2 linked regions of the Diceros bicornis minor genome follow. The protein of the gene in region 1 purifies or fractionates together with the protein of each later gene. This does not show direct contact. Links are inferred from orthologs where the notes say so. Each region holds a gene or a part of one and is shown in the gene's direction. Other genes may lie near its edges. The genes, in order: CD40 and BIRC2.

Region 1 (16,107 bases):
TAACTACATTCCAAGTGTTTAATAGGCACATGTAGTTAGTGGCTACCCTCTTGGGTGGTGCAGATATAGAATGTTTCCATTATCACAGAAAGTTCTATTGGACAGCGGAGTTCTGTTGGACAGATAAACAAGCAATTCCACCTAGAAGTCTAGGAGTATTCAAAGTCCAGGACAAGTGGACCCCCATGACTGTAACATCCCTGGCCCATGGGAACACAGACGAGTAGAGTCTTCTGAAATGGAACATAGGAGTCCCAGGTTCCTGTGTGGCCTTAGGTGAGCTACTTGTATTCTCTAGGACTCAATTTTCTAATATTATTGAGTAATAGCATTTTTTACGGGGTATATGAGAAAATTACATAATCAATTTAATCCTTATAATAACCATGTGAGCTATTAGGCCCATTTTATGGAGGAGGAACTAGAGATTAAGAATATGCATAAGGCCACATAGTCAGGAGCAGAACCAGGCTTTGGACCCAGGCCTCTGACTTCAGAGGCCACACTCCTACCCACCAAGCTGCACCACCTCCTGCTGCTAGCTCGTCATCTGCAAATCAAGGTGTCTCAGTTGGATTCTCCCAGAAACAGAAACTGAGACACAAATTTGAGTGCAATTAGTTTATTTGGGAGATGGCCCCAGGAAGCACTGATAGGGGAGGGAGGAAGTGAAACGAGGAGGGGAACCAACACCTTGTCCGTCATTGGCAGAAGGCTGCTCCCAGGGGCATTAACTCTGGCACTTCTGTCCTGCCCCCTGCGAGAGCTAACCATGCTCTTGTGGCCATAAACGGCTCCCAGGCAGAAGAGCACAGGTGCTTGAAGTAGGGAACAGGAACATGTATATGGAGGGCATGAGAGTGGGGTGCCAACAAGGTGCTACATAGGGGACTGGAGTAAGTGCTCTTTCTACTCTAACAAACTAATGGCTAGTGGAGCTTGGTATTAGGTATTTTTAGATCATAAAATCTGAAACCACAATGATTAACAGTCTGCCAGAAAATGTGTACGGGGAGACCCTGGAGGTACAATTAAACATCTGAGCTGATTTTCAACATGGATGACAGAATAAAGTGTTAATATTGATATTGTACAAAGAGCTCTTCATTAGGGCTGGGACTTTGTCTAGTCAATAGCATAACCCCAACACGTGACACATAATAAGTGCTCAATGAATATTTGTTCAATGAATGAAATTGATAAAAGAAAGACAATTCAATAGAAAAGTGGGCAAATGATATATTTAGGTCATAGAAGAAGAAATCCAAATGGTTGCTAAACATTTGATAGGATGCTCAATTTCACTAATAGTTGGGAAAATGTAAATTACAGCAACAATGAGATGTCTCTCTTCGCCCCTCAAATTGTCAAATATTAAAATGAATGATAATATCTGGTGATGGAGAGAAAGCAAAGTAAAGGTGCCTTCATACATGTGAATTTCCCAAGTGTTTTTGAAAATATCTGCCAACATTTACAATATACATACCCACAAATTCTACTTGTAGAAATCTATTCTATAAGAATAAAAGCACAGATGCATAAGAACACATGTACAAGCATGTATGTTGTTACAGCATGCTTTGCAGTGATAAAGGCTTGGATGCAGGCTGAATGTACATCGACAGAAGAAGGGTTGAATTGACAAGCCCACACCATGAAATATTACACAGTTATTAAAAAAAGAATGTGTCAGATCTGTGTCTACTAACCTGGAATGATTTCCACAATATGTTGTTAAGTGAGAAAAGTGATTGCAGAAAAATGATATATATTTATTTTCTTATGAAATGAACAAACATATCCTTAGATATGAAGAAGGATACCTACCAGGCTGTTATGAGGAGGGAGGTGTAAAGATAAAGAAAAAAATAGATGTTTACAAAAGTGGGAGTAATACATATAGTATAATGTTATAGGAAAATGTAAAACAAGAAATCTATGATATCCTTGGGAAAGAAAAATCTGAAAATTTATATGGACAAGAACAAAAAGGTGACAAGTACAGATAAAACCATTGATCTCATTTCAGGATGGGACCATGGATAACTTTTTGGTCTGTAATAAAGTGTCTGTTTCATGTATATATATATCTTGAGTGGGAAGTGTCTGATTATTCACTGGGCTTCGGCTATATGAAAAGATGCAGAATTATCTCTCTCTCTCTCTTTGTTTTTTTTTTTTTTTGAGGAAGATTGGCCCTGAGCTAACATCTGTTGCGAATTTTCCTCCTTTTCTTTTTTCTCCCCAAAGCCCCAGTACGTAGCTGTATATCCTAGTTGTAGGTCCTTCTAGTTCTTCTATGTGGGATGCCGCCTCATCATAGCTTGATGAGCATGAGTAGGTCTGCGCCCAGGATCCGAACTGGTGAGCCCCGGGCTGCAGAAGCAGAACATGCAAACTTAATCGCTACGCCACCAGGCCTGCCCCAGGATTGTATCTCTTGATCCTGATTCCCGAACTTTATTTTTCCCCCATTAATTCACTGAGAAGAAGTTGCCTTTTCATAGGTCTTTCCTCAGGGTTTGGCTTTTTTTTTTCTTTTGTGAGGAAGACTGGCTCTGAGCTAACATCCATTGCCAATCCTCCTCTTTTTGCTGGGGTAGATCAGCCCTGAGCTAACATCTGTGTCCATCTTCCTCCACTTTGTATATGGGATGCTGCCACAGCATGGCTTGATGAGCAGTGCGTAGGTCTGCACCCGGGATCCAAACCAGCGAACCCCAGGCCACCGAAGCGGAGTGTGCGAACTTAACCACTACACCACCAGGCCGGCCCCAGGGTTTGGCATTTTTAAGTCAATCAGACTTTTAACTTTTGAGGATATTTCTCCTACATTATCCGGCCAAGAGAATATCTGTTTCTGTTAGTTTTGGGATCTGGCGTGTGTCCAAACTTAGGAAGAGGAAGGGGAAAGGAGAAAAATGCTTAGAGAACTACAACTTGTGGTAAGTGTTCTGTAGGAACATTGCAGTGCAAATAGATTGTTTTGGCTGCTCTGAACATCCTTCTTATTTGAGGGGTATGGGGGTGGGGGCAGAACCACCAGGGAGGCCAAGAGGGCACAGATAGTTCTTCCTCCCTCCTGGCAGCCAGAATATGGGATGTAAGCCAAGCGTGGCCACTCCGATATCCCTTCCCAAGACTTTGACCATTGAAGGAATGATCAAGTTCAGGGTCAGTTAGAGATTGTATTAGTTATCTATTGCTGTGTAAGAAATTACCCTAAAATTTAGTGGCTTGAAATAACAAACATTTATTATCTCAGTTTCTGTGGGTCAGGAATCCAGGAGCAGCTTAGCTGGGTGGTTCTGATTCAGGGTCTCTCACGAGACTGCAGTCAAGGTGTCGGCGGGGGCTGCAGTCCTCTGAGGCTTGACTGGGGCTGGAGGATCCGCTTCTCTCTTATGTGGCTGATGGCCAGAAGCTTCAGTTCCTCGCCATGTGGGCTTCTCTATAGACTGCCTGAGTGTCCTCACGACATGGCAGCTGACTTCCCCAGAGGGCCTGATGGGAGAGAAAGACAGAGAGAGGGAGAAAGGGGGAGGGAGGGGAGGGAGAGAGACAATATGTGATAGAGCACATAAGACTGAAGCCTCAGTAGTTTTATAATCTAATCTTGGAAGCGACATATCATCACTTCTCCTGGTTTCTGTTGGTCACACAGGACAACCCTGGTGAAATGAGGGTGGGAACTACACTAAGATGTGAAGACAGGAGGTGATCGTTGGCCATCTTGGAGGTTGGCTAGCACAGAGCTGGTTTGTAAGACCTGTTTTGTAGCAGAGTCTTGACTCTGTCCTGCCTCCTGCAGTTCCTGCCTGAGTTTTGTTCTTCAACCTTCTCGTCAATTCTATGAGTCGCCTGACACCCTTCCAATAATGTACTCTTCTTCTTAAGTTCACCAGCTGCGTCTTCTCTTGATTGCAATGACAACGTTGACTAGAACAGGTGCTACAAGAGAGGACAGCAGTGGGGAAGGTGGTTTGGTAGCGGAGGAACTCACTTTAGATGAGGTGATGAGGGAGGGCCTCTCTGAAGAGGTGCCATTTGCCAGGAGACCTGAATGGTGCAAGAGTCACAAGATGAAGAGTGGGAAGAGGGGCATTTCCGTCAGAGGGAGAACAACAGACATAGGCTCTGAGGTGGGAACCAAGAGGCCTGGATGGCTGGGGGGTAGCAAGCAAGTGGGCGAGTGGAGTCAGGCAGGGAAGCTAGATCATGCAGGATCTTGAGGCCATGGTAAAGAATTTGGATCCCCTCCCCCAAACAAAGCCATCTCTTATTCCAGACATCAGAGCCAGAGAAGGCTGAGGACCAGACCTGAGGTCTGCTTGTCTGGGAATCAGGATCAGCCAAGTCAGTAAGTGGTTTTAACCAGATCCTGACAAAGAACTTCTATACTTTGTCAACTCACCCATCTGTTTTGCTGGCTTTCAGGTTTCCTTAATTTCTGGTTGGGTTCTTTCCGGAGTTTCTTAGTTCCCTTTGATAAATTCCAACCCAACTCTGCTGAGCTGAAGGGAAATGTTTTTGTCCATAGTTGGGCCTGGGAATCCCATCTAGAGAGCCCGGTCATCTGGTAGAGATGGGCAGCCACCCAGGACAGTGTGGGAATGAGCAGGTGGATCCTGGTGGATCCTTTCAGTCTCATTACTTCATAGTCTCTCATTCGCTCAACAAACACTTGTTCAGTATCCAGCGTGTGCCTGGGCTCTGTGTGGGCATCAGGCTACAAAGATCCTCCTCTCCAGGAATCAAGTTGGGTGTGAGTTGGCACTATGGCCCATGGCCCCATGTCCCCTGCATTCCAAATGGGAGCCAGATACTTTCCCTCCAAAGTTTACTAAAAGGGGTAGAATTAAAAGGGTCCTATATGCCCTAGCTAAAACCTTACTCTCCTCTTCCTTGTCCATATAATAATCCTGGGGAGGGAGGAGTTCTTTCGTTTTATTGAGGAGTATAGTGTTTATGGTGGAAGATGATTCCCTTCTCCCTACTCTTTAATTGGGAATCCCTCATGGAGATTAAGGGTTGACTTCAAGAAGGGGATACTAGGACGCTGTTCCCCAGTGGGGGTCTACAGCAAGTAGACTTGCTGATGTCCCTCTGTGCCAGCTAGCAGGGGAGAAGAGAGGTGGAGAGAGGAGGCATTGTTGAGCGGCTGGCCAGGATGCATGAGTTTCTCTGGGTCAAGCTAACTTCCTGGCTAACTTACCGGGACACTGCAGTAAGTTAGCCAGGCTTTCTGGTATCCCACCCAAGCAAGGCTGACTGCTGAGCAAGAGGGTCCCACCAGTGGCAGGAGCCCAGGTGGTGGGGCGAGGTAGGAAAGCTCAAGCCTGAGCTGGATGCCCCATGTCAGAGAACTGTGCAGTGGAGAAGCCCCCAAGAAACTTACTCATGTTCCTCTGAGATACTATATATGAACACTTGCCACTCTGGGTTAGCCAGGGAAGCAGGGTCATCCAACAGGGAGAGGGCTATTGCAGAGAGCCATTCCCACTCCCTCCTCCCAATTTCAATACGGGGGAGGGTGCTGGGGCATGTCTCCCAACCAGGCCATGTCCCCCCTGCCCCCACTTTTTATCCAAGCAGGGAAGATCTTGGCTCAAGTCAATCCTTGGATGAGTAAGCAAGAAGATAAAATGAGATTTAAATTGAGTTTGAGAATACAGCTTTCAAGGAGGGAGGTTTAACAACAGAAAGTGATCCAAAAGTAATGCAATCTGCCCAAGATGTCACTAATGGATGAAAAAGGGAGATTCAACACAGCGTGGCTGAAGGCAGAGATTAGGGGAAAAAACTTCATTATTATGTCCCACCAAATTAAGTCATCTTAATACGCTGATTCTGGGAGTAAACAGAATAATTGAAATACAGTGCGCTAGGGCTGGAGTCTTGCTTAGGTAAGCAGCCCCAGGGCTCTGAGGGAGTATGGGGAGGTAGGTGTGCACACCCCAGGTTGGCTGTTGGAGAGGGCTTTCCAGAGAGGCGGCATCTGAGCTGAGTCTTGAAGGATGAGATGGAGTTGGTTCCATGAAAGGAGAGTGGTTTCCAGGCAGAGGTGACAGCACAGTCTGGAGCAGCAAGTTGAAGGCAGGAAGGACAGTAGGAGATGAAGACCTGGAAGCCCATGGCCTTGAGGCCCTGTGAGCTTAAGAAGTGAGGGCTCTGGAGAGTTGCTTCAAAGCTGGGAGCAACACAGTTGAGTTTGCTTATTAGAACCATCTGGTCGCTAGGATTCTGGCACTGCTGTGGACTTGACCTCAGGCACGCTTCTCACTCTTTCACCTGGCCCTGTGACCCCCACTCCCCTGCAAAGGCCATTTCATCTGATTACAAAATCCTAGGTCCCCATTCTTTTGAATGTCCTTTGCCCTACTCCCATCATCAAACCCTTCATAGTTCCCCTCTTTGATGGGACTCTGAAATATTGCTGCCCTCCCCGTAAATCATCTTCTCTCTTTCCTCCTTCAGCATACTCTTCTCAGCCCAAGAAGATTCTATGCCTTCTTTGGGCCTGTGCCCGCCAGCACATGTCTCCTTGGGAGATGCATATACTAAAATATCTTGCCTTTATCTCATCTGGTCTTCACCCCATGGGGCAACCCGAAGGCTACTATTTATTCTTTCACACATTAATTTAAGCTGCTTTAATTGCTGCTATGATATGTTTTATATAATATAATTAATGTTTTAATTCTGTGTACTTGCTTCCCAAGGCAGTTTTGTGAAGGGACCAATTTTGGAATCAAGCAAATAAAGAATAAGTAATGGATGAAGTTATTATAGTAACGCCCCCCCCACTCCCGAAGGAATTAAAACTGTGCTTGTTTTTCTCAAAGTGGATTAAAAAGGGAAAAGATATTTTACTGTTTCTCTTCATGCCAGGCATGTTTGGGTGGCTTTCAGGAAGCCCCCTAGACTCTGATTTCAAGCGTTCCTAGATTATTAGTGTCTGACCACCGGCTTGAGGTCTGTGTTGCGACCACCGGATTTGCACCTTGTGCCCCCACATCCTTCCTGACAGAAGCTGAGCTTAGAATGAGAAGTTACTGAACCCACTCGCTCCTTTATTCATTCATTCAGCAAATGCATATTGGTGTCTTATTATGTGCCCAGGACTGGGAGAGATTCAGTCCTGCCCTTCAGGAGCTCACAACCAAATGAGGCCAGGCAGATGGAGTTCCAGTTCAGCATCCTCATGCTGTGGAAACAGGGGGAGGGGCTAAGGTGGAGTGGAGTATCTACCTCTGTCTCAGGGAGCTAAGAGGAGGCTTAAATGAAAAGGAAGTGAAATTTAAACTGGTTCCAGGAAGGATAAGGGAAGTAAGGAAAAAGCAAGACACAGTAAGAAAAAACAATGTGTGTTTGGAAAATAAGAAGGCAAGCCTGGCTGAAGCCAAAGTGCATGGGAGGACATGGCTAGGAGTGAGCATGGGGAGAGGGGTTGGGGCTGAGTGGAGAAGGGCTTGCTGTGCCGGGAGAAGGGGTTTGTGCTATTCTGGGGGCATAGGGGAGCCCAAAGAGGTTTTTAAGCAGTGAAGTGCCCGGATCAGATCAGATCTGGAGTTTACAAAGAGAACTCCAACAGTATGAACAACGAGAGAGAGAGAGAAAGTGTTAGTTGCCTGGCACATAGTGGGGGCTCAACAAGTACTTAGTGAATGAGTGAAGCTATGGGGACAGCCCAGGTGAAAGATGAGCCTCTTAATTAGGGCAGCAGCACAGGGGATGGAAAAGAGGGGATGGATTCTAGAGATTAGGATCCACAGGGCTGCAAATGTGCCCTTTGCAGCAGAAGCCAGGAGGATGGGGTTAGCAGCTCCCTCCTCTCCCATCCTCCCTGATCTGCACAGCCTGGCCTTTTGTACTGGTCCAGAAATTCAGAGCTTAGAGAGTCATCACCTCAACTACTGTCTAGTTCAAGATCCTCAGGTTTCATTAGGGAAAATTGAGGCTCAAGGGAACCCAGCCCATCAGAGGCAGAGCCTAGACCAGAACCCGGGTGTTGGGTATTGCGGAGAGTGTTAATACTGGTTCAAGATTGGGTTGGAGGGCTGGGAACCCCGGGAAATGTAGGCACAAGGGTGTGTGTGTTTCCGCAGAACGAGAGGGTCCCGAGTTTCCTAAGACTCTCAAGGGGTCCTACCATCCCATGACAGGGATCTACTCTAAACGCCTGTCTCCAGGCGCCGGATGGGAACTGGGAGGGAAGAGAAGCTGGTGGGGACGCATGGATGGATGAATGAATGGATGGCGAGGCTGGGACGCTGCGCCCACACGAGGGAATTTCCTTTGAAAGAGAGAGAAACTCTAAGTTGGGAAACTGTTTTCCTTGAAACGCCTCCCCAGTCCTTCTTCCCACACCCCAGCTGAGACCTTCCCGTTTTCTGGGATGGGGGGAACTTCCTCAGGTCCCGCCATCCGCGGTGGAGGTGCTTTCGGTTCTGCCGGGATTCCCGGAGGCGGTGGGGGAGAACCGTGGGGGTCCCTGTGGCATCTTCCCAGCACCGGTGGGGCTCTCTCTTCCCTCCCTTCGCCCCCGCTGGGAGCCGGCTGGCTCCTTGCCCTCTTCAGCTTGGCCTCTGTAGTCTCAGGGGGCGAGGAGGAAGGGCTTTCCCTGGGACCAGCCCCACCTCCCAAAACGCGTCCCTAAACTCCCGGGGAAATTGAACTCCCGGGAATGTCCTGGGGAAATCCCAGGGCAGGGAGTCGCCGAGAACTCCGCCCCGTCAGCGAGGCTGGTTGCGGCGATTGGTCCCCGAAGACCCCGCCCCTTTCCTGGGCGGGGCCACAGACTGGGGCAAGCGAGTTACTGGAGACCCTGTCTACGCGCCCTCGGCTCCGCCGCCTGTTTCTCTCCTCGCCATGGTTCGTCTGCCTCTGCAGTGTCTGCTCTGGGGCTGCTTGTTGACCACCGTGAGTTGCGTTTCTGCTCCGTCCCGACCGGGGAGTTTGGGAGTGGGGAACTTCCCGGGAAGAGAAGCGATACTTCGGGGAGGGGACCTTCCTAGCTGATTTTGGGGGGATAGGAGGGTGCGTGGAAGCTGGGTAAGGTACCCAGCTCCTGGCTGAATGAGGTGGGCTGCCTCTCTCTCTTCCCAGGTTGGGGTCTCAGGTAGCCCACAGAGGGCCTGTCGTAGTGGGGGCACTGCAGGAAACGTGCATAGACGGTGCGGATTGGGTTGGGGTTTTGGGAGCCTCAAGCCTTTGGTCAAAAGGCTAGAGTCTAGGTTTGCCTCAGAGGCTTGACACGCGGAGACTGGTGAGGGCTTTCGGAAGTGGGAAGAGAGGCCGGCCAAGGGAAGGGGCGGATCTGGCCGGTTTCCTGTCTCTTTCCCATTGTGGACAGATGCCAGCCTCTGTGAGTTGTTATCATCTCTTTACCAGCTGGGGCTGCTTTCTTTTAGGGCATCTTGTGGGAACAAGGGGTGGGTGCAGAGGCCCAGGTACCTCTTTGAGAAGGCAAGCTTTTAACACTCCCACCCCCACCCCCAAATCCTGGGTGATCCAATCTAGTTGGTATACCCAAGGCTGTCTCTGCCTCCTGAATTTAAGATGACATGGGGAACCCTTGGGGGAAATGAACAGTTCATAAGACCCGAGAAAGGGTTAGGAGACCATCAAGGGTTTCTCCAGAAACCAGAAGAGCTCAGATATACCCAACCAAGCATATCTCCGGGATTTTCAGAAGCCCACACTTGACTCACTTTTTGTTTAAATATATTTTTGTAGTTCCTCATTCTGGAGGCTGGGAATCCCCCAAGTACCTGACCCTCTTATCCCAACCCCTCTGGGCTCCCCCTACTTTCGAGGGCTGTAGTTTCTGGCATGAAGTCTCGCAGGAATGACCCATGTAGTGGGGGGTCAGCAACAAGGGAAGAGAGTCAGTCGGGAGGCTGCTCTGGCCCCAGAGCTTTCATTTTCATTCCAAGCAATGGCTCTTAGGGAGAAAGGAGGCAGGAAGAGGGTGGAGCCAGAGAGAGGAGGAAGGGGGCTCTTGTGGGAAGGAGTGGAGAAAGAGCCAAGGGAGGTAGGGTGAAAGGTAGTCTGGGCTTCTCAAGAGCATACTTCCAGTTTTGGCTCCAGGTAGAGACTGGGCTGTGACCACAACAATAGCAGGGGCTATTTATTGACAGCTTCCTGTGTCAGGCTCTGAGCAAAATGCTTTATGTGCCTTCTCTGTCCGATTTCTTTCAACTCCCTCATTATACAGATGAGTAACCTGAGGCTCAGAGAGAGGGAATGTCTTGCCAAAATTCTCATAGCTAGGTGGAACCTGGATATAAATCTACGTCTGCCTGATTCCTGAGCCTGCCTCTCACATGGTGAGAGTCTCCAAGCCGCGGTCCTGGGGTTCTTTGCATCAGATGGACTGGAGCTATGGAGTAGGAACTCAGGATTGACAGACTTTCAGAGGAGGAGCTGTATATTTCTCATGTGTTTGAAAAAGGCATAAAGGAGTTTCATTGCTCTGAGAGTGTGGTGGGAAGGTCCACAGGATTGCAGGGAGAACATGCACAGGGCGGTGCATTGTGATGTGATGGTGGGGGCAGCAGCCTTTTCCACCTCCTTCTCCATCTGGGGTAAGGTACATTTCTGTAAGTAATTTGCCCACCCAGGTTGAATGCAAGCCACCAATTAGGCAGGATTCTGGACAGTCAGCCAGATAGCATCCAAGTAGATATTCACGTATGTATGATAATTAAAACTGCCATTTAATGAGCACCTACTATGACATTGTACAGGCCATATACACATATTCTTTCTCGTCTTCATAACCTAATCTGTGGGGCATTTTAGAGATGTGAAAACTGAGGCTAAGAGAAGGAAGATAACTAGTAAGTGTTACAAAGTCAAGATTGGAGCCTTAAGCTGTTTGACTCAAACTTGTGCTGTTTTCATTGGGTGTTCCCAAAGTGTGGGAAGGTTTTAGGAAGTGCATGGATATATAGAACTATATAAATATATATATAAATCTATAAGCAACATTGATTTACTTTACAGTTCTGTTTAAAATCCTTCTCATATTTTCAAGAAATAAGTCTCTGGAGCTAGAATATAGTTAATACCTCTTGAGCACTTGCTAATCCTCCTTTTTAAACAAAAATCAAGAGCAGGCCTGGGGCAGAGGGCTGTCAGCAAGCGAAGCAGCCAGCTGGGGTTTAATAACACTGTTTTGTTTCTGTTGAATTTATTTTTAGGGTTACCTTTCATTTATGAGAAGTGATACTGGTTCTTCTCTCATGGCGATGATATAAGGTTCCAATTTAAAATAAACGCATTTAGAGTAACAGGAAGTAATTAATAGCATGGGTGGTACCTGGATATAGTAAAAATAGTGCAGGTGAGACCCAAGTTGATGGAGAGAGGGAGTACTGAGACCTGAGTTCTCATTTGGATTCTATCACTGTGTGACTCTGGGTAAGTGACCCTGGACCTTAGTCTCATGATTTGTAAAGTGAAAGAATTAGATTTTTATCCTTGCAGCTTCACAATCCTGGCATTTCATGAAAGAGGGGTTGGATGATCAGATGATGAGGGGTTGGAGGGAGAAAACATGATGAGGCTTGGAGAGGGGAAGAGGGTGGGGAGCAGAAGTCTGGAAGGAAGAGGCCAGGTGCTAAATATAGCCCCAGCCAAGACTAGGACCGCTGAAGCCAGCCAGCCTCAGCACTCCAGGGGAGGTGCTGGGGTCCTCCTGTGCTTTTGGGTCTTTGGGAAGAGGAAGGACTCAGGAATCAAGCCAAAAGGAAGATCTGTTTATTTCAGAGAATAGTGTGAGGTTCCGGTGCAATCGCTTTGTAGAATACCAGAATGATTCTCTGTGCTTTTATAATCATACCAGTTGGAAATTTAGTTAAAAACAAACACACCAAGTTATATGCAGCCTCCATTTTTCTGCTTTGGACTTCCACTTCAGTTCTAACCTCTGTCCTGGCTGATTTCCACCTTCCTGCCAGGGAGGCTACAGCAGAGATTTCAAGATCCCTTCAAATCGCCCGATTCTGTTTGTAGGTCCACCCAGAACCACCCACTGTGTGCCAAGGAAACCAATACCTAACAAGCAGTCGGTGCTGTAATTTGTGCCCGCCAGGTGAGATGCCAACCCTCTAGTTCTATAGTGGGACCCCTCTTGGTCTGCTGGCAGATGCACACCCCATGTTTCAACTGAAACTCGAGTCTTCAATAACCCCTGGGATTTTCCATCCCTGCCCAGGGCTGTCAGAATGTTCTGGGTTCCCTCTCTGCCTACCCAGGACTAGGGTTCCTATCTCTTCCATGTCCCTCACCAGACTAGGAAGGCTAGAAGGGTCCAAGACTGTCCCCTTTGAATACCCCCGCCCTAAAGCCCAGCCTGGTCGGTTTTTGGTAAGTGTCTGATTCATTGAATTGGCTGGAGCTGCCTCATTTGCTGATGTTTTCCAGGAGAGAAACTGGTGCATGACTGCACGGAGATCACTGGAACAGAATGCTCTCCTTGCAATGAAGGCGAATTCCTAGACACTTGGAACAGAGAGAACCGTTGTCACCAGCACAAATACTGCGACCCCAGTGCGTGGGCTGCTGGGGAAGGGGCACTTGGGAGACAGGCTGATATTCCAGCTCATTCCTGACCATGCAGCCATTCTGGTATTTTTTGGTGAGAAGATTGGCCCTGAGCTAACATCTGTTGCCAATCTTCCTCTTTTTGCTTGAGGAAGATTGTCCCTGAGCTAACATCTGTGCCAATCTTCCTCTACTTTGTATGTGGGACGCTGCCACAGCATGGCTTGATGAGCAGTGTGTAGGTCTGCACTTGGAATCCAAACCCAAGAATTCGAACCCACTACGCCACTGGGCCGGCCCCCATTCTGTTTTTTTTTTTTTTTTTTATAGCCAAGGTCTGTTCTGATTGGTTGGAGTCTGAGTTATTTAATTTGATCGCCATCCCTACTTGGACGAGGGTCTGAGAAAAAAAGATCAGGATGTGTGAGGAGCGGGGCCCCGAGCATGGCCAGCAAAGAGTTCCCATCCTTCCTGCCTGTCTCTGCTCAGACCTAGGCCTCCGGGTCCAGAGGGAGGGCACCTCGAAAACAGACGCCACTTGCACATGTCATGAAGGCCAACACTGTTCCAGCGATGCCTGTGAAAGCTGCACCCTGCACAGCTTGTGCCCCCCTGGTCTTGGGGTCAAGCAGCTCGGTAAGTGGCCTGTCTGGGAATCAGCTCTAGAGGCAAGAGAGAGGAGCCAAGGGCCAAAGGTGAGGGGCTGGGCAGTGGGCACTCAGCCCCAGAGGCGGAGGGAATGGGGACTCCAACCTACGTGGAATCTCCGCCAGAGTGAGCAGGAAATGGAACCTTTTTCGTTCCACCTGCCGCCATGGGTGTCTGTCTTGGGAGGGCAGTGGAAGGAGCCTTCCTAGGGGCTGCAGCAGTTGGGGAAGCGATATGCTGGGGAAAGGGTGCTTAGAGCAGGCGGCTCTTCCTGCCCTGCCTGTCCACCGATTCCCTCAAGGGCCGGACAGGTGGTCCTTGGGATGATTAATGCCTCCTCCTTCCTCCCAGCTACAGGGCTTTCTGATACCATCTGCGAGCCCTGTCCAGTCGGCTTCTTCTCCAATGTATCATCTGCTTTTGAAAAGTGTCACTCCTGGACAAGGTATAAGGATTCAGCCCTTGTGTTTCCTGCCCCAAGAGGGGCATGGGACCTGCTTCCATTCTCTCTGGCCACCTGTCCTTCAGCCCCTGCGCCACGTGTCCACACACACTCGTGCACTTGTAGAACTCCTAGAGTGACCTCGTGGCCAACTAGATGGCCAACCTTTCAGTATTTTCTTGCCTGCTCTCTCTTGGTGGTAATAGACACTGTTGATCTCTCAATCTTCCCTTCTTGGGGAAACTGTGACACCTCTCTTACTTTCCATCTACCCCTCCTCTGCTCCTTCTCCTTTTTCCTCCTTAACTCATTTTCTAGGCCTTTGTTCTAGGTTCTACTATCCAATCACTTTGCCTGCCTCCCCTGGGCCATCTCATCCATATCCATGGCTTCAGCTACCATCTCTTCGGATGGTTTCCAATCAACATCTTCTGTCTAGATTTGTCTCCTGGGTCCCACACTGTCATATCCAACTGCCGAGAGTACACCTCCACGCAGGTGACCCACAGGCCCCAAATGGACTCACCTTCCCCCTCCCCTCACCATCTGTGAAAGCCACCATCATGTCCATGGGCACTCGTCCCATGGTCCCCCCTCACCTCCAACCCCGAATCAGTCACCAGATCCTGTGCGTCTGGCCTTCCAAATGTTTTGGGACGACTCCTTCTCGCCATCTACACTGTCCCCACTTTAGTTTGGGCCTCATCACCATGGTCTAGATGATGTCTTAGCCTCCTCACCAGCCACCCTGCCTCTGTTCTCTCCCCTTCAGCTGGTTCTCCATTGTTTTGCCAAAGTGAGCTTTCTACGGCTCATTTCGGATCATGGCATTCCCTAGTTAAAATGTTTCATGATTCTCTATGCCTCTAGGATGAAACTCAGTCTCCTTCGCATGGCCTCTGACCTTCCAGCTCCATTTCCTGACCTCTCCCCGCATCACGCTCCTTGCAATCCCCTCAACACATTGTTCCTTCTCTTGCATCAAACTCTTCTGCCTGGAATACCCTTATACACACGCCCAATTAACTTTTACATTGAATTTTTAAAAATGGGTAAGACGAGCGCATGGGCACAAAAGGGCCTATCAAGATAAGTCTCCCTTTTACCCTGTCCCTCAGCCACCCAGTTCTCCCTGGAGGCAGCCCCTGTTCCTGTGTGTCCTTCCAGAGATTCTATGTACAGACAAATAAATGCACACATGCAGACACACATAGAGTCCACACAGTAGTAGCATCCCATACGTACTTTGTTATTTGTTTACTGTCTGCCTTTCTCCAGTAGATAGCAAACTCCTTCAATGTAGAGACTTGGCTTTTTTCTTCTTCCACTGCTGCATCCCTTATGCCTAGAACAGTGCCGGATGCATAGTAGCTGCTCCATAAATGCTGGATGATAACTGGAGGCACCTTGGTGTAGTGGAGTCAGAGCACTGGGTTCCACCCTTGCTGCAGCTTAGAAAGGGTGTGACCCCGTGTCAGTGTGTGACCCTCATCTCTCTGAGCCTCGGTGTCCTCATTTGGACCATGGGCATGACCTTCCTCTCTCAGGCTTGAGGAAAAGACATGTAAAAGTGTTTTGTAAACTCTTGGGCACTCTTCTCATGTAAGAGTCTTCTCATGCATGTGCTTACTTTGAAGCTTCTTTCTCTTTCTCCACTTTAGATGTTTTCTTCTTTGTGGTGTCTTTCTCTGTCCCTCCCCACTCCTCCGGGGACCACCTTGGACTGGGTCTTCATCATCTCATATCTCGACTCCTGCAGTGGCCTGCTGGTGGCCACTTTTCTGTAATTCTCCTCTTGTGAGCTCTCTGGCCAGCTGAGTGCTCTCGCTACTGAAGTCATAGGGTTGGATGCTGATGTGACTCACCCGCTGAATCCAGTCAAAACCTTCCTGGCTGATTATCAGTGATCTGGTTCTAAAGAACCCATTTTACATAGTTCCCTAACACCATCTGGCATGCCGCTCACCTAATCCCTCATATCACGTTGTCCTGCTTAGCTAGAATGTACTGCTGCTCAGAATTTTACATCCTCCAGGGTCCACTCAGATCTAACTTCCCCAGGGAAGTCTTTTTGGATGACCCTTAAACCAGAGCTTCTCAACTGAGCAATTTTGTCCCCCAGGGGACATTTGACAATATCTGGAGACATTTTTGGTTGTCACGACTGGGGAGGAGGATGCCACTGGCATCTAGTGGGTAGAGGCCAGGGATGCTGCTAAACATCCTGTGATATACAGGACAGCAGAGAATTATGTGGCAGAACTCATCATCTCTCCATTCCAGCCATTGTGGATTTTGTCTCCTCTTCTCTGAACAATTACCGGTTCACTTTAGCCTCTGTTACAAAGCTTGGCATTCTTTAGAGACTCTCCTATTATTATTCCTTCAAGATGTGCAACAATCTTTTTTCTGCACTCCTGAGTTCCATAAGAACAGAGTCTGTGTCATTCTCATAATAACCA
Region 2 (16,561 bases), on another chromosome or scaffold:
TAGATTCTCTGCCCCCTTGTCTTGCTCTTCTCCTTCCGGGACACCTATAACATGGATGTTAGTGCGCTTGATGTTGTCCCAGAGGTCCCTTAGACTGTCCTCACTCTTTTTAATTCTTTTCTCTTTTACCTGTTCACCTTGGGTAATTTCTTCTAGTCTTTCGTCCAGCTCACAGATCCGTTCTTCTGTATCCTCTACTCTGCTTTTGAGTCCCTCTAATGAATTTTTCATTTCCAGTATTGTATTCTTCATTTCTGATTGGTTGTTTTTTATATCTTCCATTTCTTTGTTGACATTCTCACTGAGTTCATCTATTCTTCTCCCCACATCAGTGAGCATCCTTAACACTCTTTGTTTGAACTCTCTGTCAGGTAGGTTGCTCATTTCTGTTTCACTTAGTTCCTTTTCTGGGGTTTTGTCCTGTTCCCTTACTTGGAACGTATTCTTTTGCCTCCTCATTTTGCCTCTTTCCCTGTGCTTGTGTCTACGTATTAGGTAGGTCAGCTAAGTCTCCTGCTCTTGGATAGGTGACCTTATGTAAGTGATGCCTTAGGAGGCTTCCAGTGTGCTTCCCTCAGTTCTCAATGTTCCAGGGGTGACCCCTATGTGGGCTACGTGTGTCCTTCTGTTGTGGCCTGTTTGCTCTCCCTGTAGGCGCCCAGGGAGGCTGAGTTATGATCCTGGCCAGCTGTTGTAATGCTCAGCTGCTTGTAGTTGTTGTGGGCCCTTCAGTCTCTTTATGAGGTGTGGGGAGCCCCGGCACAGTTGGCTGCAAGTTCTAATACCACATTTGTGTTGCAGTATTTCTTTTAAGTGAGTAGGCCCCAGGCATGGCAGGTTGTTAGGCTCAGGGCCTTACAATTGCTGTAAGCCTCTAGCCTACTAGGTCTCTTGTCAGCTCTCTGAGGATTGCAGCTGGGTGGGGCTGGCCTCAGGCACAGGAGCACTCAATCGTTTCAGGCTTTGGAAGGTGGGGCAAACCTCCTATGTGGGTCTTTGAGAAGCACAAGTCTTCTGCAGCTGACAAACCCTGCCGCCCACAGGTCCACACACACAGTCAACACAGTCCTGCCCCGTGTGAGCGCCCCGACCTCCCCAAGCGGACCCAGTCTCTCCACGGCAGGAGCCCCACACACTCTGCCACCGCCCCACACTCTCCACCGGCTCCTTGTGCACATCCTGCCCCGCTCAAGTCGGCTCAGTTGCCAGGCTGCAGAGAATCCAGTCACCAATCTATGCAGGCCCACAAGTTGCCTGAGGGCTTGTTGTTAGGTGGGGCCAGTCTCTAGGGTGGGCTGCCTGCCCTGGCTGAGCTGGATTAAATCAGTGCTCTAGCAGGTGGGGCAGACCCTGGGCTAGCAGGCCCCAGGGAGAACTCCAATGGCGTCTGTGTCAGCACGCCCACACCTGGCCACAACAATGGCCGCCGCCAATGTCCCAGTCCCTGGAGAGGTCTCACCCCTCACTGAGATGCACTCAGGGCCTATTAGGTGAGTCTCTTTTCACCACAGCACTGTGCACCTTTCTTTCTGGTGATTTTAGGATGCTTTCTGAAACGGGTGAGTTTGCGAGCGGGCCCTTTAAGAGCCAGTTTTAGTTTCTTTGTGAACCGGGTTTTCTGGGGGTGCTCCCCAGTGTTTTAGTAGCACGCAAAGTCAGATATTATGCCGCTGATCTCGATTGTGCTGGGTCCACAAAATGCCCACAGCGGGGGCGCTCCCCAGCTCAGGGCCCCGCGCCTCCAGGGAGGCTGCGTACCTGTGAGCTGCTCCCGGCGGGCCATGAAGCTGGTGGCTTGTGAAGGCGGCGTTTTTCCTCTCCAGAAGGGAGTCTCTGCCTCTTCTACCTCAGTTAGGGTTGTCTGTTGTTGCGGGAGTTCCTCTTATCCAGTTTTCAGTTCTGTCTCAGGGGTAATTTTTCCACGAGTAGTTGTAAATTGGCTGTGCCCACGGGAGGAGGTGAGTTCCGAGTCTGCTTACACCGCCATCTTGACTCCGCCTCCCCATTCTTGCTTCTTAATGTAGGCATTTATTGCTATGAACTTCCCTCTTAGAACTGCTTTGCTGCATCTTATAAGTTCTGGTGTGTTGTGTTTCCATTTTCATTTGTCTCAAGAATTTTTTTTATTTCTCCTTTAATTTCTTCTTTGATCCATTGGTTGTTCAGGAGAGTGTTGTTTAATTTCCACTTGTTTGTGAATTTTCCAGTTTTCTCTTGTTATTGATTTCTAGTTTCATGTCATTGTGGTCAGAGAAGATACTTGGTATAATTCAATCTTCAATTTTCTAAGACTTGTTTTGTGGCCTAACATATGGCCTATCCTAGAAAATGTTCCATATGCGCTTGAGAAGAATGTGTATTCTGCTGCTGCTGGATAGAATGTTCTGTATATATCTGCTATGTCCATTTAGTCTATAGTGTTGTTCAAATCTGCTGTTTCCTTAGTGATTCTCTGTCTGGATGATCTATCCATTGTTGAGAATGGGGTATTAAAGTACCTAACTATTATTGTATTACTGTTTAAGTTCTGTTAGTTTTTACTTTATATATTTAGGTGCTCTGATGTTGCATAGTCAGAGCATAATTCATATGCAAATATGAATATTTGCATAAATATTCACAATTGTTAAAACTTAATGTATTGACCCCTTTATTGTTATATAACAACCCTCTTTGTCTCTTTTTACCATTTTTAGTTTAAAGTCTATTTTGTCTGACATAAATATAGCTATCCTTGCTTTTCTTTCTTTCTTTTTTTTTTGGTTACCATTTGCTTGAAACGTCTTTTTCCATCCCTTTGCTCTCAGCCTATGTGTGTCTTTAAGGCTAAAGTGAGTCTCTTGTAGGCAGCATATTGTTGGATCTTGTTTTTTTATCCATTCAGCCATTCTATGTCTTTTGATTGGAGAATTTAATCCGTTTACATTTAAAGTAATTATTGATATGTAAGGACTTACTCTTGCCAGTTTGTCAATTTTTTTCTGGTTGTTTTGTAGATCTGTTGTTCCTTGTTTCTTATCCTGCTGTCTTTTTTTGTGTTTTGATGTCTTTTGGTATCAATATGCTTTGACGTCTTTATTGTGTTCTTTTGTGTAATACTACAAGATTTTCCCTTGTAGTTACCATGAGGCTTACATAAAATATCTTAAACTTATAAGACTGTGTTTTAAACTGATAACAACTTAACTTCAATAGAATTCATGTACTTTTCACAGTAACTTCTCGTCCTCACTTTTACTGTCGTTACAATTTACATATTTTTTTATATCGTGTAACCAATAACAGATTATTTCGTTTAAGGTTACTTTTGTTATGGTCCTTTTTTTTTAAACTTTTAAACTAGGGTTACAAGTGAGTTATGCACCACTATTACCACATTGCGGAATATAACCATGACTATATATTTACCATGACCAGATTTATGCTACCATTCTGTGTTTTTATGATGTTAATTAGCATTCTTTCACTTCCAATTAAAGATCTTCTTTTAGCATTTCTTGTAAGGCAAGTCTTGTGGTAATGAACTTCCTCAGCTTTTTTTCATTCGGGAATGTCTTTATCCTTCCTTTGTTTCTGAAGGACAGCTTCACTGGGTATAGAATTCTAGGTTGACAGTTATTTTCTTTCAATATTTTGAATATGTCATCCCACTCTCTCCTGGGCTGAAAAGTTTCTGTTGAGAAATCCTCTGATAATCTTAGGGGGTGTTCCCTTGTATGTAACTTCTCTTTTCTCTTGCTGCTCTTAAAATCCTTTATTTGTCTTTGACTTTTGACAATTCAATTATAATGTGTCTTGGTGTAGCCCTCTTTGGGTTCAACCTATTTGGGATCTTTTGGGCCTCCTGGATCTGGATGTCCATTTCTCTACCCAGGTTCTGAAAGTTTTCAGTCATTATTGCATTAAATATACTTTCTGTCCCTTTCTCTTTCTCTTCTCTTTCTGGAATTCCCATAATGTGAATATTGTTTCTTTTCATTGTGTCCCAGTATTCTCTGGATTTCTTTACTCTTTTTCATTCTTTTTTCTTGTTGATCCTCTGACTGAGTAATTCCCAATGTCCTATCCTCCAGCTCATTGATTCTTTCTTCTGCATGGTTGAGTCTACTTTTGAAATTCTCTATTGAATTCTTTAGTTCAGTTATTGTATTTTTCAACTCTAGGGTTTCTATTTGTTTTTGATGGTTGCTATTTCCTTGTTAAACTTCTAATTTTTTTCATGCATTGTTTTCCTAATTTTGTTTAGTTTTCTGTGTTTTCTTGTAATTCACTAGACTTCTTTAAGAAGCTTATTCTGAACTCTTTTTCTGACAGTTCATAGATCTCCATTTATTTAGGGTCATTTATTGGAGATTTATTAATTTCCTTTGGTGGCATCACATTTATCTTTTTTGTGATCCTTGATTCCTTATGTTGGTATCTGCACATTTGAATAATGGGGCTCCTTTTCCAGACTTTACAGGTTTGCTTTGGCAGAGACAGTTCTTCACCAGTCAGCTCAGTTTGGGTTTATGGATGTGTCTGCTGGTAATGTCTTGGGGTAGGTGGGGCCTGCTATTATGGTCTATTCTTGGGTGAGGCAACTGTTCAAGTTCTGAGGACAGGGATGGGCGTGTGTGGCACTGGCTGAGAACAGTTGGATAGGACTGCTAGCTTGGTTCTCTACCCAGGTGAGGCTGTAGGATGGGCTCCATTGTTGCCCAAATTTTCTGGTTAGGCTTACTAGATGACCGGAACTGGGTACTATATTCAGTAGTAGATTGGACTATGAATTAGCTTCCCTGCCTTGGCAGAGCAGCAGGCCATGTCCCAGGGCCTGTACAGCTTGTTGCTTGGGGGCCCAAATCAGGCCTGAGTGTGCACTGAATTCCCTGGTAAGGTGAGGCCACTGGTTTTGCTCTGCAGATGGGAGGAAGCCACAAGCTGTGCTTTGTGTTCAAGCAACACCATATGTAGGGCTGTTGAATGGGCTATACAGCTTCCTGTGTGCTCTGGTTAGGTTCCCTGGTTGGACAGGCTAAAGGCTGTATTCAGCAATGAGTGGGGCTGCAAATGAGATTCCCTACATCAGTGCAGCAGGAGAAGCAGCTGTAAAACCAGTAAAGCTTTTTATTTGTTGTCTTAATTCAAGCTGACCACATGCCAAGTTCCCTGGTTGAACAAAGCCAAGTTCCCTGGCTTTGCTCTGCAAACTTTTAGCTCTGTCTGCCCTTCTCTTGGCTCGAGTGCCACTGGGCCACACAGGTTTCAGGTGTTTTCACCAGCCCTTCTGGTCAGATGTTGTCAGAAGACACTCCACAGCAGATGGGGCTATGTCTTAGCCCCCTCACCTAAGCGTGAGGGGGAGGGGGCCCCTCCAGGCTACTCTCAATTTCCCAAACAGGCTCTCTGGTTGGGAGAGGTCAGGAGCTACCCTCAGCCTTAGCTACTAATTAATCCCCCTGACTGATTGTAGCATGGGAAGCCTCCATGCCTAGTACTGGGTTTGCTCTGGGGATGTTCAGTTCTGCTTGCCTGCCTCTCGGCTTGTGTGCCATTGGGCTGCACAGCTTCCAGGAGTTGTTGCCAGCCCTTCTGGTCAGATAGAGCCAGAAGACCCTCTCCACAGCGGGTGGGGCTGTGACTCAGCACCTTGCCTGGGCTTGGGCAAACCAGGCTCTAGGGCTGGCAAAACTCGTTTGAGAATCCAAATCAGGCAGATCTGCACCTTGCTGAGTTCCCTAGTCAGAGTGCACCCCCAACTTGGTTCTGCACATGAGCAAAGCTGCTAGTTGGGATTACTACTTGGCACTGCAGGTAGGAACTCGGTCTGCGAAGATCAGTGTGCTAGTTGTTGCAAGCCCTCCCCTTTCCTCCATCACAGTCAGATTCCCCTGTAATCCCCATGGTGTGAGATCAGAGTAGAGACTCCTACAAAGTGACCCCTCCCCCCCCAATGCTAGGTGGGGGCTGGTTGTTCTCCCTGGGTTCTCTTTTCCCACTGGAGGAAAAGCCACCACTGGAGGCTCCTGGAGACCTCTCCACGTGTTGCTATGCTGGCCTGGGGGAGGGGCAATGCAGTCAATGTGTAGCCTCTCCTCTTACCCTTCTATTGCAGTCTGTCTTGGTCTCTGAGGTGCAGAGTGGTGCTTTAGCCTCACCCCCATGTTCTAGGATTCTCTCCGTGGTGTCTTGTTCTTGAACAGGTGTTAGTTCTTCTTGTGAGGAGGGGTGAAGTCAGGAATGACCTATGTTGCCATCTAGGTGATATCCCTCTCAAAACAATTTGTTTACCATACTTTTCCTGGTGACCTTCCTATAACTTGCCTCTCTTATCCGGAAGCCCAAAACTTCTTTTCCTTTGTTGGTATTTAAACCCTAAGTTCTAACCACCACTTTGGGTTACTCATCACTGAGGGTTCTCATTTGAACACGTGCAACGCACATATTAATAAACTTCTGTTTGTTTTTCTCTTGATAATCTATCTTTGGCCAGTCTAATTTACAGGACCCCAGCTGGAGAACCTAAGATGGGCAGAGGAAGAGATTTTTCCTCCCCTTCAGTATATACTGACATACGGGAGAAAAAAATTTCTCTCTACCCGTCTGAGTTCTTAGCTGAGATCCCTGTAATAAAAGACAGATTAACGAGAGAAAAACAAACAGAAGTTTAATATGCATACCTCATTTATACGTGGGAGATACCCAAGGAAAGATGAGTAACTCCCTGAGGTGAATTAAGCCACAGGCTTAAATACCATCTTCAGCTAAAGACAAAATCAAGAGTGTGGGGAGGCCAGTTATGGGGAGGTTACCAGGAAAAGCATGGTAAACAGGGTAAAGTTTGTTATGCAGATTTAAGTCAGTGCCTTCTCCATTTGTCACCTCCCACCCCACTTTTGGCCCACCTATCCTGATCTTAGCAACAGTTCTGCTATAAGTCAGGTTAGTGAGAATGCCCCCACCCTTGATATCTGACCAAATTCCTTATCTTCCACCTTTGATATATAAGCCCTCGGCCTATATTCAGCAAGAATCCCCCTGCCCTTGATGTCTCCACTAAGTAATTATACATCCACTGACTCCCCTCATTCTGCTGGTTGGCTATAAATCCTCAGCCATCTTTGATGTATTCAGAGTTGAGCCTGATCTCTTTCCCCTACTGCATGCGATAGTCCTGAATAAAGTCTTCCTTCTGTTGTTCCTTACTTACTGACATTTTAACAAGTGTCAGAATAATTTTTCCTTTAACAATACCACATAACCAATCCTAATATTCTTTTATGCTTAATTTTAAAAAAATATATAAAATGTTACATATGCAATTGATGCATATGAAAAGATTTTCAATCTCATTCATAACAAAGAAATTAAAGCTATGCTGAAATATCCATCTGATAGACTGGCAAAAATCCAAAAGTTTGACAACATACTCACCTGGTGAAGCTGTACAGAAAAAAGGAACTTACATATATTGCTGGCTGGATTGTAAAATGCTAACATTCCCATGGAGCGGGAGGGGTATTTGGCTATATCTAGCAAAATTACATATGAATTTACCATTTGACCTAACAATCCAACTTCTGGGAATATATCCTAAAATAAGATGTATGTCCATGTTTATCATTACATCACTGTTTGTAATAGCAAAATATTGGACACCACCCAGATGTCCATCAATAGGGAAGTAGTTGAATACATTATGGTACTAGTTGAATATATGCTACATCTACACAGTGGAGTACTGTGCAGAAATGAGGAATATCTCTCTATATATACTAGTATTGAGTGATCACCAGAATTTATTATTAAGTGAAAAAAGATGAGAAAAAGAACGCTATCATATATCTAAGAAAAAGGGAGCTATGGATAAACATATATAATTAACTATATTTTTAAAATGAAAAAATGAACCATAAAAAATGTTTAAATCATTACCTACGGAGCAGGAAGGGAGTAGTAAAGGTGAGAACAAGGATTTTTCAGTGCGAAGGGAGAAAGTCACAGATGTACGATCAATGAGGTTAAATAAAACCTTGAATTCCTGAATTTGAATTGGAAGAGTTCATGATGCATTTTTTTTTTTTTTTTTAAAACTTTTTTTTTTTTTTTTTTTTAAAGATTTTATTTATTTTATTTTTTCCCCCCAAAGCCCCAGTGGATATTTGTGCGTCATAGCTGCACATCCTCCTAGTTGCTGTATGTGAGACTCGGCCTCAGGATGAACGGAGAAGTGGTGCCTCGATGCGCACCCGGGATCCGAACCCGGGCCACCAGCATCGCAGCGTGCGCACTTAACCACCAAGCCACGGGGCCGGCCCCATGATGCATTTTATTAGGGAAAAAAAAAAACTACAACAAAACAAGACCATATTACCCAACTCTGTCCATGGAATAGGTTATAAAAACAATACAACTCTAATAATTAGCACCACAAACATTCAGATTATGGTCTTCAGATACTATTTCCCATGAAAGGAAACAGGGCACTTGGAATAAATGGCTTACTACAGGTATGGGGTAAGAAATGTACAAAACCAGCCTGAAAAGCAATCAAAGACTACTAGGGCCATGTTGAAAGGACTCAGGAGCCAATATGAATAAGCTCCCATTGGCCTGAGATTAAACAACTTTGGGCACCGATAATGACAATAACTGTAATGGATTACAACTCACAAGATACGTTTAAATCCTCAGATGATAATGATAGCTGTTCACTTTTTGGGTTTTTATTCACCAGGAATTTTTTTAATAGTTTAAGGTCATGATCTAATTTTATTTTTTATTAGAATAATCAGTTATTTGACATTACTTATTGACTAGTTAATCCTTTTCTCTCTAATACATAATATCAATGTCATATATCAAATTCATATATATATGTCTTTTTTCCGGGTTCTTTAACTTGTCCCTTTGTTTATTTGTCCATCCTTGTGTTAATACAATACTGTCTTAATTACCATGCCTTTATTAAATAACTCGTTATCTGGTGGACAAGTCCCCTCCATCTTATTTATGTTCCTCAAAATTGTCTTGGATCCTATAAATATTTTTTCTACAAAAATGTGAAAAATATTAGGATGGCAACCTAATTCTACACTTGAAATATGAAAAAAATTAATTGAATAGATTTAACGCCAAACTACAAGGTTATACAAGATTAAAAGTTATAAAGTAATATTATACTTGAATGTTATTACATACTTTTTTGGGAAAATGTCTAAGGCCTTTGGGTTTTTGAAATTCGAATTTTCCCCAATACTGAAGTATATTCATTATCTTACTTTTTGGTCAGGACAAGAACTGAAAAAGAGAAATAATCTTGAACTCGGAATGAACAATTCTTGCTATATGTATTTTCCCACATATATAAGGAAGATTCTGTAACTTTCCGAGAAAGAGTGACTTGGACTAAATACTGAACTATCAAAATTCATGTGCATATTTGGAAGTTTTTAGTCATTGGGAGCCATGGCATTTCTTTTCTCTGTATCACAAACTGCTACAAATACTTTCTTTTTATTATTATCATTGGAACAGAAGATCTCCTGTTCTGTGACTGACTGGCAGGCAGAAATGACAGGGACAGGAAATGGGAAATGGTTCAGGGTCTTGGAATTCCCCTGGCTGCCTAATTAAGTGGCTTGTTATTTGGAAGTTTTTGAAATGTTTGTCCCCTGGAGTTCCCCTGCGAGAAGAAAGCATCTGATTTCATTGACAAAGAGTGTCTTCACACAAGTAAATTAAAAAATTCCTTCCCTGCAATACAACAAACACACACTGCACGCCTCTGCATTTCGGCACTACTAAAGAGGAGGGACACAAAACGCCCACAACTAGTAACACCAAGATTTTTTACTTAGAATTTTTCTATCAGTGAACTATTTAAAAATTTCATTGAGAAGTGGGCTCCTCTGTGGTTCACGCACGATTTATGTATACACACGCATATATATGAATGTACACATTCCATTTTAGTCACATTCAGAAAAACCCGGGAGTGAAGCCTGGCCTAAAACACCGTTCATGTTGCTAGCGATGAGTTTTGCAACAAGACACTTTTTCGTTAGTGCATATGTCTCCAGAACAGAAAACCGAAAGTTTAAAAACAATGTTTATAAATAAAAGATACACTGGTTGATTATAAAATAGATATATAATCCTCAAGAGATGATAAAATCAAGCCTTCAAAATTAATCTTCTGACGCTGTTCTACTTTCCAACCACTTGGCTTTTCATTTCCACTGCCGGCTGTGTAATGTTGATGCTACGCAGCTGCGCTCTGAGGCAAAACGGTTACAACTGTTTAAAACGGTTGCAACTGTTTACTTAATTGAAGCAAAAATGCCACCAGGTTGACTTCATCTTCAAGTGCACTCATCTAAGACGAGCGGAGGTGTCACCCCGGAGGAATTTTGCCAGATGCTGGATCATAACTCTGAGGTGACGCGGAGGAAGAGGCGCAAAACCGCCGGCACTGGGGCGTTTCCGCAGGGTTTCCCAAGATTCAAACTCCACGGCTCCCCGTTTGCCACGTCCCCGTCAGGAGAATGTCAGGGACTGAGAGAGAAGGAAACGTTACTCAAACTGCAAGATTAAAAATCGAAACACCGAGATGATGTGGACGCTCGCGCCTCGCCCCGCGGGCTGACCAACTTCCCGCAGGCGGACGCGCCCTCGCTCCCGCTCTCGGACCGCAGACTCCCCGGCGCCCTCGAGCGGCGGTGACGCGGGGCCGGGCCAGGCGCGCTGACGTCACCGTGCGTCTGCGTGGGCCCTGCTTGGGCGGGGGGCTTCGGGAGCGCCGGACCGGAGCCGGCGGGCCTGTCTTCTGTCGGCGCCGTTGCTCTGGGTCTGTGGAGGTCGCCGGGCAGCCGCGCTGTTTCCGTGTTTGCTGCGCCGGCACTGCGGTGAGTGCAGCTCCTTCCGGGCCCGGGCCCGGGCCGCGCGGGGACCCGCTTCCCCGAAGCTGCGGCTGGGCCAGGGAGGGCAGGCCCTGGGCCCCTGGGGCCGGGGGGCGCGGGTCGCGGTGAGCTCTCTCCACTGGCTCTCTCTATTCTCCCCGAGGCTTTTTAATTCGGAAGTTTCAGCTCCAAGACTCGAAGTCGGAGATAAAAATTGACCTGTTTGCACGCCCGCCCTGGCCGCCGCCCACTTTTCGGCCCTTGGACTTTGACCAAGATGTTTTCTCATAGAGGTTTTGCAGGAATTTAATTTAACCCTCGGTGTTCCTTTAATTTAATATGTTGAAACGAAGACAGGTGTGTGGCGGCCACATCTCACGTTTCAGAGTTCGAGCTGTGCTCCGCCACTTCAGGAGTCTGTTGTGTATTGAGAGAAGTAACTCCGGGAAATCAGTGGGTAAATCCCACAGTTTCTCTTCTTTTCCCTTGCAATCTATCCCCCCACCCGGCTACAGTTTGCATGAAGATGGCAGAATCCACAGTACGGTGTTTGTGTATACAAATTTAAAGATATGATATCAAGTCCTGGTGGAACGAAAGCATTTGTGCAGTGGTCACGTTCCCAAGGCCAGTGTTTTTCCCATTGTGCTATGTTTTGTTTTCGAGTTGCTTTCTGTGGTTGTGGCTTGGGAGTTGTAGAGTTTAAGGGTTTATATTAATGAGTTTCTGATGCATTTTACGCTTACTGGTCAGTTTGCCTAGTCCTGGAAAGATGTGACTTTCAAAAATAACATCACTGTCTAATTATTGCTGTACTGTTGCTGATGGGATGTAGTCTCTCTTTTTCACCGCTGTCCCCTTTTGCTATTAGCAAACTGCCAGAGATATCATCTTTAAACCGTTAAAAGTTGTCACCAGAAAAGGGGAGGAGACCAAGGACAAAATACTTTCCTCTTTGGAAATGTCCATCTGTCTTCAAAGTTGTACGTTTAAAAAAAAATGTATAGTTAGTGCTAAGGGGGGTATATGGCATTTATTTGAATTAAGAGCTTTTCCATTTAGAAAGTTTTGGAGACAAATTGCTGGAATTAAGATGTGGTATTATCTAAAGTGTAAATCATTTTTAAGACTTCACTGAATAAATTGAAGAGTGTGTAAGTTCTATTTAACATGAAGATAGTTTTCTAAAATAGCTTTTGTTTTTTCTTTTCAGATTTACAGCTCTGAAGAGTCTACTTTTTCCCCCTCTTTTTTCCCCCTGCAGTAATAAATCCCGTTATGGAGACCCAGAAACTTTATAAAGGGATATAGTTTGAATTCTGTGGAGTGTAATTTTGTGTATGAATAGGGTTTTCAGAAAGAATGCTACTAGGGATAATTACTGGTACATTTTGCAGAAGCAGTAATTCTCTTGGTAGTGCAATATTTTGTTAGGCATTTGTATTAACACTAAAAAGGACAAGCTGTATCTTGATAAATTGATTTATCTTTAATTACAAAATGAGTGTATAATAGATGCATGACCTTAAGTGAAAGACAGATGATTTAATTTTTAAATGGAGTGTAAAAAGTTTCAGCTGTGGCAATTTTATGGTTAACTAGTTAAGTTTATGGAGAAAATACTTTCAGTTGATCAAGTGTAATAAAGTGATATGCAGTTAGGAAGAAAGGCAACATAATGATGCTGCAGGAAATGGAAACAAATATAGACAATATTTAACAAAGATGGAAGATTTAGCAGTTTGTGGGCTTTAAGCAAAATTAATTTCATTTGATATCATACACACTATAATGAGCATAAGTTCAATAAAGCTTGTGGGTGTTGACGTCCCCAAAAGTTGTTAGCTGAAGCTAATATAACCCACTTAAGTAAATACTATGATGATAAGCTATGTGAAATTAGCCTTTCGATAATGTGACCATACAAAGACTTTAGTTCTTGTTTACTAGAATAAAACAAGGTTTTTTTTATATATCATATTAAAGTACTTGTAGGGAAAGAATCTTGAATATAGATTTTTCCTCTTGTAGCATAATTAGTAATTGGCTTGACATCTAGGCTTTGTAGGCTGTAATCAGAAGCAAATTAAAGGTATAACTTAGGTATTCTACAGTTGTTTAGAATTTTGGGAATATAAACCCACTTGAAAAATCAAGGAGTTTTAACTTATTTTTAGAAGTATATCAACTTAATTCAGGCCATTAGGTTAGTATTGCACCAAATAAGAAGCACATAACACTTAAGTTACCTAAAAGAGTTAATATAATCCCAAAGAGTACTAAATAGTATCTTGGTAATTGAGGGGAGAGATTCATCCTACCTGAGTGTAAACTCAGGTGTAAGTCCAGTAAAGAAGGTTTAGTGAGTTTTACATAAGTAGGAGCTTATTTGATTCTTTATGGTAAAAATCTAGTGTGAAGAGATGAGAAATTTCATGTGAAGGTTTTTAGCCATTCAAAAGTAAAATCACTCATGCACAAAACTACCTCCCAAAGACTTGTCCCAGGTCCCTCGTATCAAAAAATTAAGAGTATAATGGAAGATAGCACGGTCTTATCAAGTTGGACAGTCGGCAACAAACAGAAAATGAAATATGACTTTTCATGTGAACTCTACAGAATGTCTACGTATTCAACTTTCCCCACCGGTGTTCCTGTGTCAGAAAGGAGTCTTGCTCGTGCTGGTTTTTATTACACTGGTGTGAATGACAAGGTCAAATGCTTCTGTTGTGGCCTGATGCTGGATAACTGGAAACAAGGAGACAATCCTATTGAAAAGCATAAACAGCTATATCCTAGCTGTAGCTTTATTCAGAATCTGATTTCTGTTACTAGTCTGGAATCCACCTCTAAGAATACTTCTCCAATGAGAAACAGTTTTACACATTCATTATCTCCCACTTTGGAACATAGTGGGTCATTCAGTGGTTCTTATTCTAACCTTTCACCAAACCTTGTTAATTCTAGAGCAGTCGAAGACTTCTCCCCGTTGAGGACTAACCCCTACAGTTATGCAATGAGTACTGAAGAAGCTAGATTTCTTACTTACCATATGTGGCCGTTAACCTTTTTGTCACCATCAGAATTGGCAAAAGCTGGCTTTTATTATATAGGACCAGGAGATAGGGTAGCCTGCTTTGCCTGTGGTGGGACTCTAAGTAACTGGGAACCGAAGGATGATGCTATGTCAGAACACCGGAGGCATTTCCCCAATTGTCCATTTTTGGAAAATTCTCTGGAAACGCTGAGGTTTAGCATTTCAAATTTGAGCATGCAGACACATGCAGCTCGACTGAGAACATTTATGTACTGGCCATCTAGTGTACCAGTTCAGCCTGAGCAGCTTGCAAGTGCTGGATTCTATTATGTGGGTAAGAAACAATCTAATATATAGCTATACATTTTATCTAGTTCATTTTGATTTACATGTTAGAATATGTGTGTATTCAGTTTTAGTTTTTTGTTTTCCTTAGGTCGCAACGATGATGTCAAATGCTTTTGTTGTGATGGTGGCTTAAGGTGTTGGGAATCTGGAGATGACCCATGGGTAGAACATGCCAAGTGGTTTCCGAGGTAATTGTTTTGAAAGGTATTTCTACACAAAGCTCTGTGCTTAAGAGAAGTAGGCATGCTTTCATGATTAAATTTACATTTTAATATAACAGTTTCTTTTACTATTGGGGAATTTGTCTTTTAAAATACGAAGTTTTAACGTTAATTATTTTGATGAAAAATGTTGTAGAATGTTCTGTGTTTTCTTCTTTTGCAAGCCATGTACTCGGGATGTAATTTAACTTATTCTTGATGATGCATTTACAATTATGGCCAAACATTTCATTTACATATTTCCCATTTTACTTTAAAGAAGACTTAAGGATTATGAAGATATGTAAAATAGAACAAAAGGAGCATAAGTTAGAAAACAGTAAGAAGGGAACAGGAAAACAAGAAGGGAGCCATAAAATGGATCTAGGAATAAGACAAATATAAAAATGCATATAATAAAAGCTGGTTAAGTCTTATTATAATTGTAAATTATTTTTTCTATACAGTTTTATCTTGTGATATGTCACTTATGTCCTTTTAGTCACTCTGTCTCTAGCAGTATCTCTTATTTTTTACCATGGCTTAGAAAGAATTTAGAGGCAATGTTGTTAGTGGAAATAGAATTAGAAATTTATTCTGTTTTTGTTTTTGAGTAGCTATGTCGACTTGGGCAAGCCATGTGATCCCTTGAACCTCTTTCCTCATCTGTAAAATCAGGAGATTGGACTAGATAATGTTGTTGTTGTTTTTTTAATTGTAGTAAAATATACCTAACATAAAATTCACTATTTTAAGCATTTTTAAGTGTGCAGTTCTTTGGCATGAAGTACATTCATATTGTTCCTCAATCATTACCACTGTGCATTTAAAAACTTTTTCATCTTTCCAAACTAAAACTTGCACTTATTACGCTAACTCTCCATTCCTCCCTCCCTCCCTCCAGCCCGTGGCAACCACCATTCACCTTTCTGTCTCTATGAATTTGACTACTCTAGGCACCTCATATAAGTGGAATTGTATAATGTAGATAATGTTTGACCTGTGAGTACCTTTCACAATCATGAGGAATCTCTTGAACCCCTTCAGGAAATTAAAAAATCCTTTTGTCATTTTTGTATAATATAAGATACAAAAGAAATATGAAGTGAGAAATATTTTTTTATGGATTAGTACATTGTTAAAAGTTGTATTTTAAAATTATATCTTTAATATTCATAATATATCAAGATAAATTTTGACTTTCTAACTCTGGAAAGTAATATATATTTTGTTTGTTTTTAATCATTTATGTAGGAAAAAGCATGTTTTATTGTCAGAATTTTAAATGACCTAATTATGCCTGGCTCTATGGGATTGTGTACATATAATTTGAAATTTAACTAATATAGTATTAAAGAGACCAAAACAGCTTTCCAATTTCAGTGTTTGAATTGCTGCATTTTGTCCTTTATAAAACAAAACAAAACAAAACAAAATCTTGGTTTGTTTCTGTAATTTGTGTTTTGTTTTAAATGGTTAAATAACACAAAAGGCTTAGGGGTGCTTTTTGTAATCACTTCTGAAATCAACAAATTTCAATTGTGGATAATCTTAAATCTCAGTAAATGAAAAGTCAAAATGGATAATTGTTATCACTTTATTTTAACACAGTTTGTTTATTTATCAAATATTTGGGTGCCTACTGGATACTATTTTAGATACTGGGGATGTAACAGTGAATAAGACAGACAAAAATCTGTGTCCTCATAGAATTCACTGGAGAAAAGGGAAGTATGGAGCAGCCAGGGTTCGTTATACTTCCTGTCTTTAATCATTATGAATATAAATTAATCAGTCCCGGAATAAAAATAATTTAAAATTATATAAAGATGAAGAACACAATGACAAGTAGCTCTGTTATCTGGGTGATAACCTTGAGTCCTGAGCATGCCTGTATGATCTCTACTGATTCTACCCATTCACTAGTTGAGGGACATTTGGGTTCTTTCCAGTTTGGAGCGATAATGAATAAAATCACTCTAAACATTAATAAACATTTGTGAACATATGTTTTCATTTTGCTTGGATAAATACTTAGAAGTGGGACTTGTGGGTTGTATGGCAAGTTTTGATTTAACTGTATAAGAAACTGC

The links.
Region 2: the proteins of CD40 (region 1) and BIRC2 purify together in Homo sapiens (affinity purification with western blotting; 4 studies listed by BioGRID and IntAct, with this or other methods). This does not show direct contact. The link is inferred for Diceros bicornis minor from reciprocal best matches to the Homo sapiens genes CD40 and BIRC2.

The regions. Positions count from the first base shown.
Region 1 is NC_080758.1:15,288,552-15,304,658, reverse strand, and holds the start of CD40 (tumor necrosis factor receptor superfamily member 5), read left to right. Parts: upstream 1-8,813; 5' UTR 8,814-8,874; coding exon 8,875-8,925; intron 8,926-12,024; coding exon 12,025-12,103; intron 12,104-12,435; coding exon 12,436-12,561; intron 12,562-13,044; coding exon 13,045-13,191; intron 13,192-13,554; coding exon 13,555-13,648; intron 13,649-16,107.
Region 2 is NC_080746.1:32,612,294-32,628,854, reverse strand, and holds the start of BIRC2 (baculoviral IAP repeat-containing protein 2), read left to right. Parts: upstream 1-10,501; 5' UTR 10,502-10,889; intron 10,890-12,096; 5' UTR 12,097-13,356; coding exon 13,357-14,254; intron 14,255-14,356; coding exon 14,357-14,456; intron 14,457-16,561. UniProt on the Homo sapiens protein: Multi-functional protein which regulates not only caspases and apoptosis, but also modulates inflammatory signaling and immunity, mitogenic kinase signaling, and cell proliferation, as well as cell invasion and metastasis.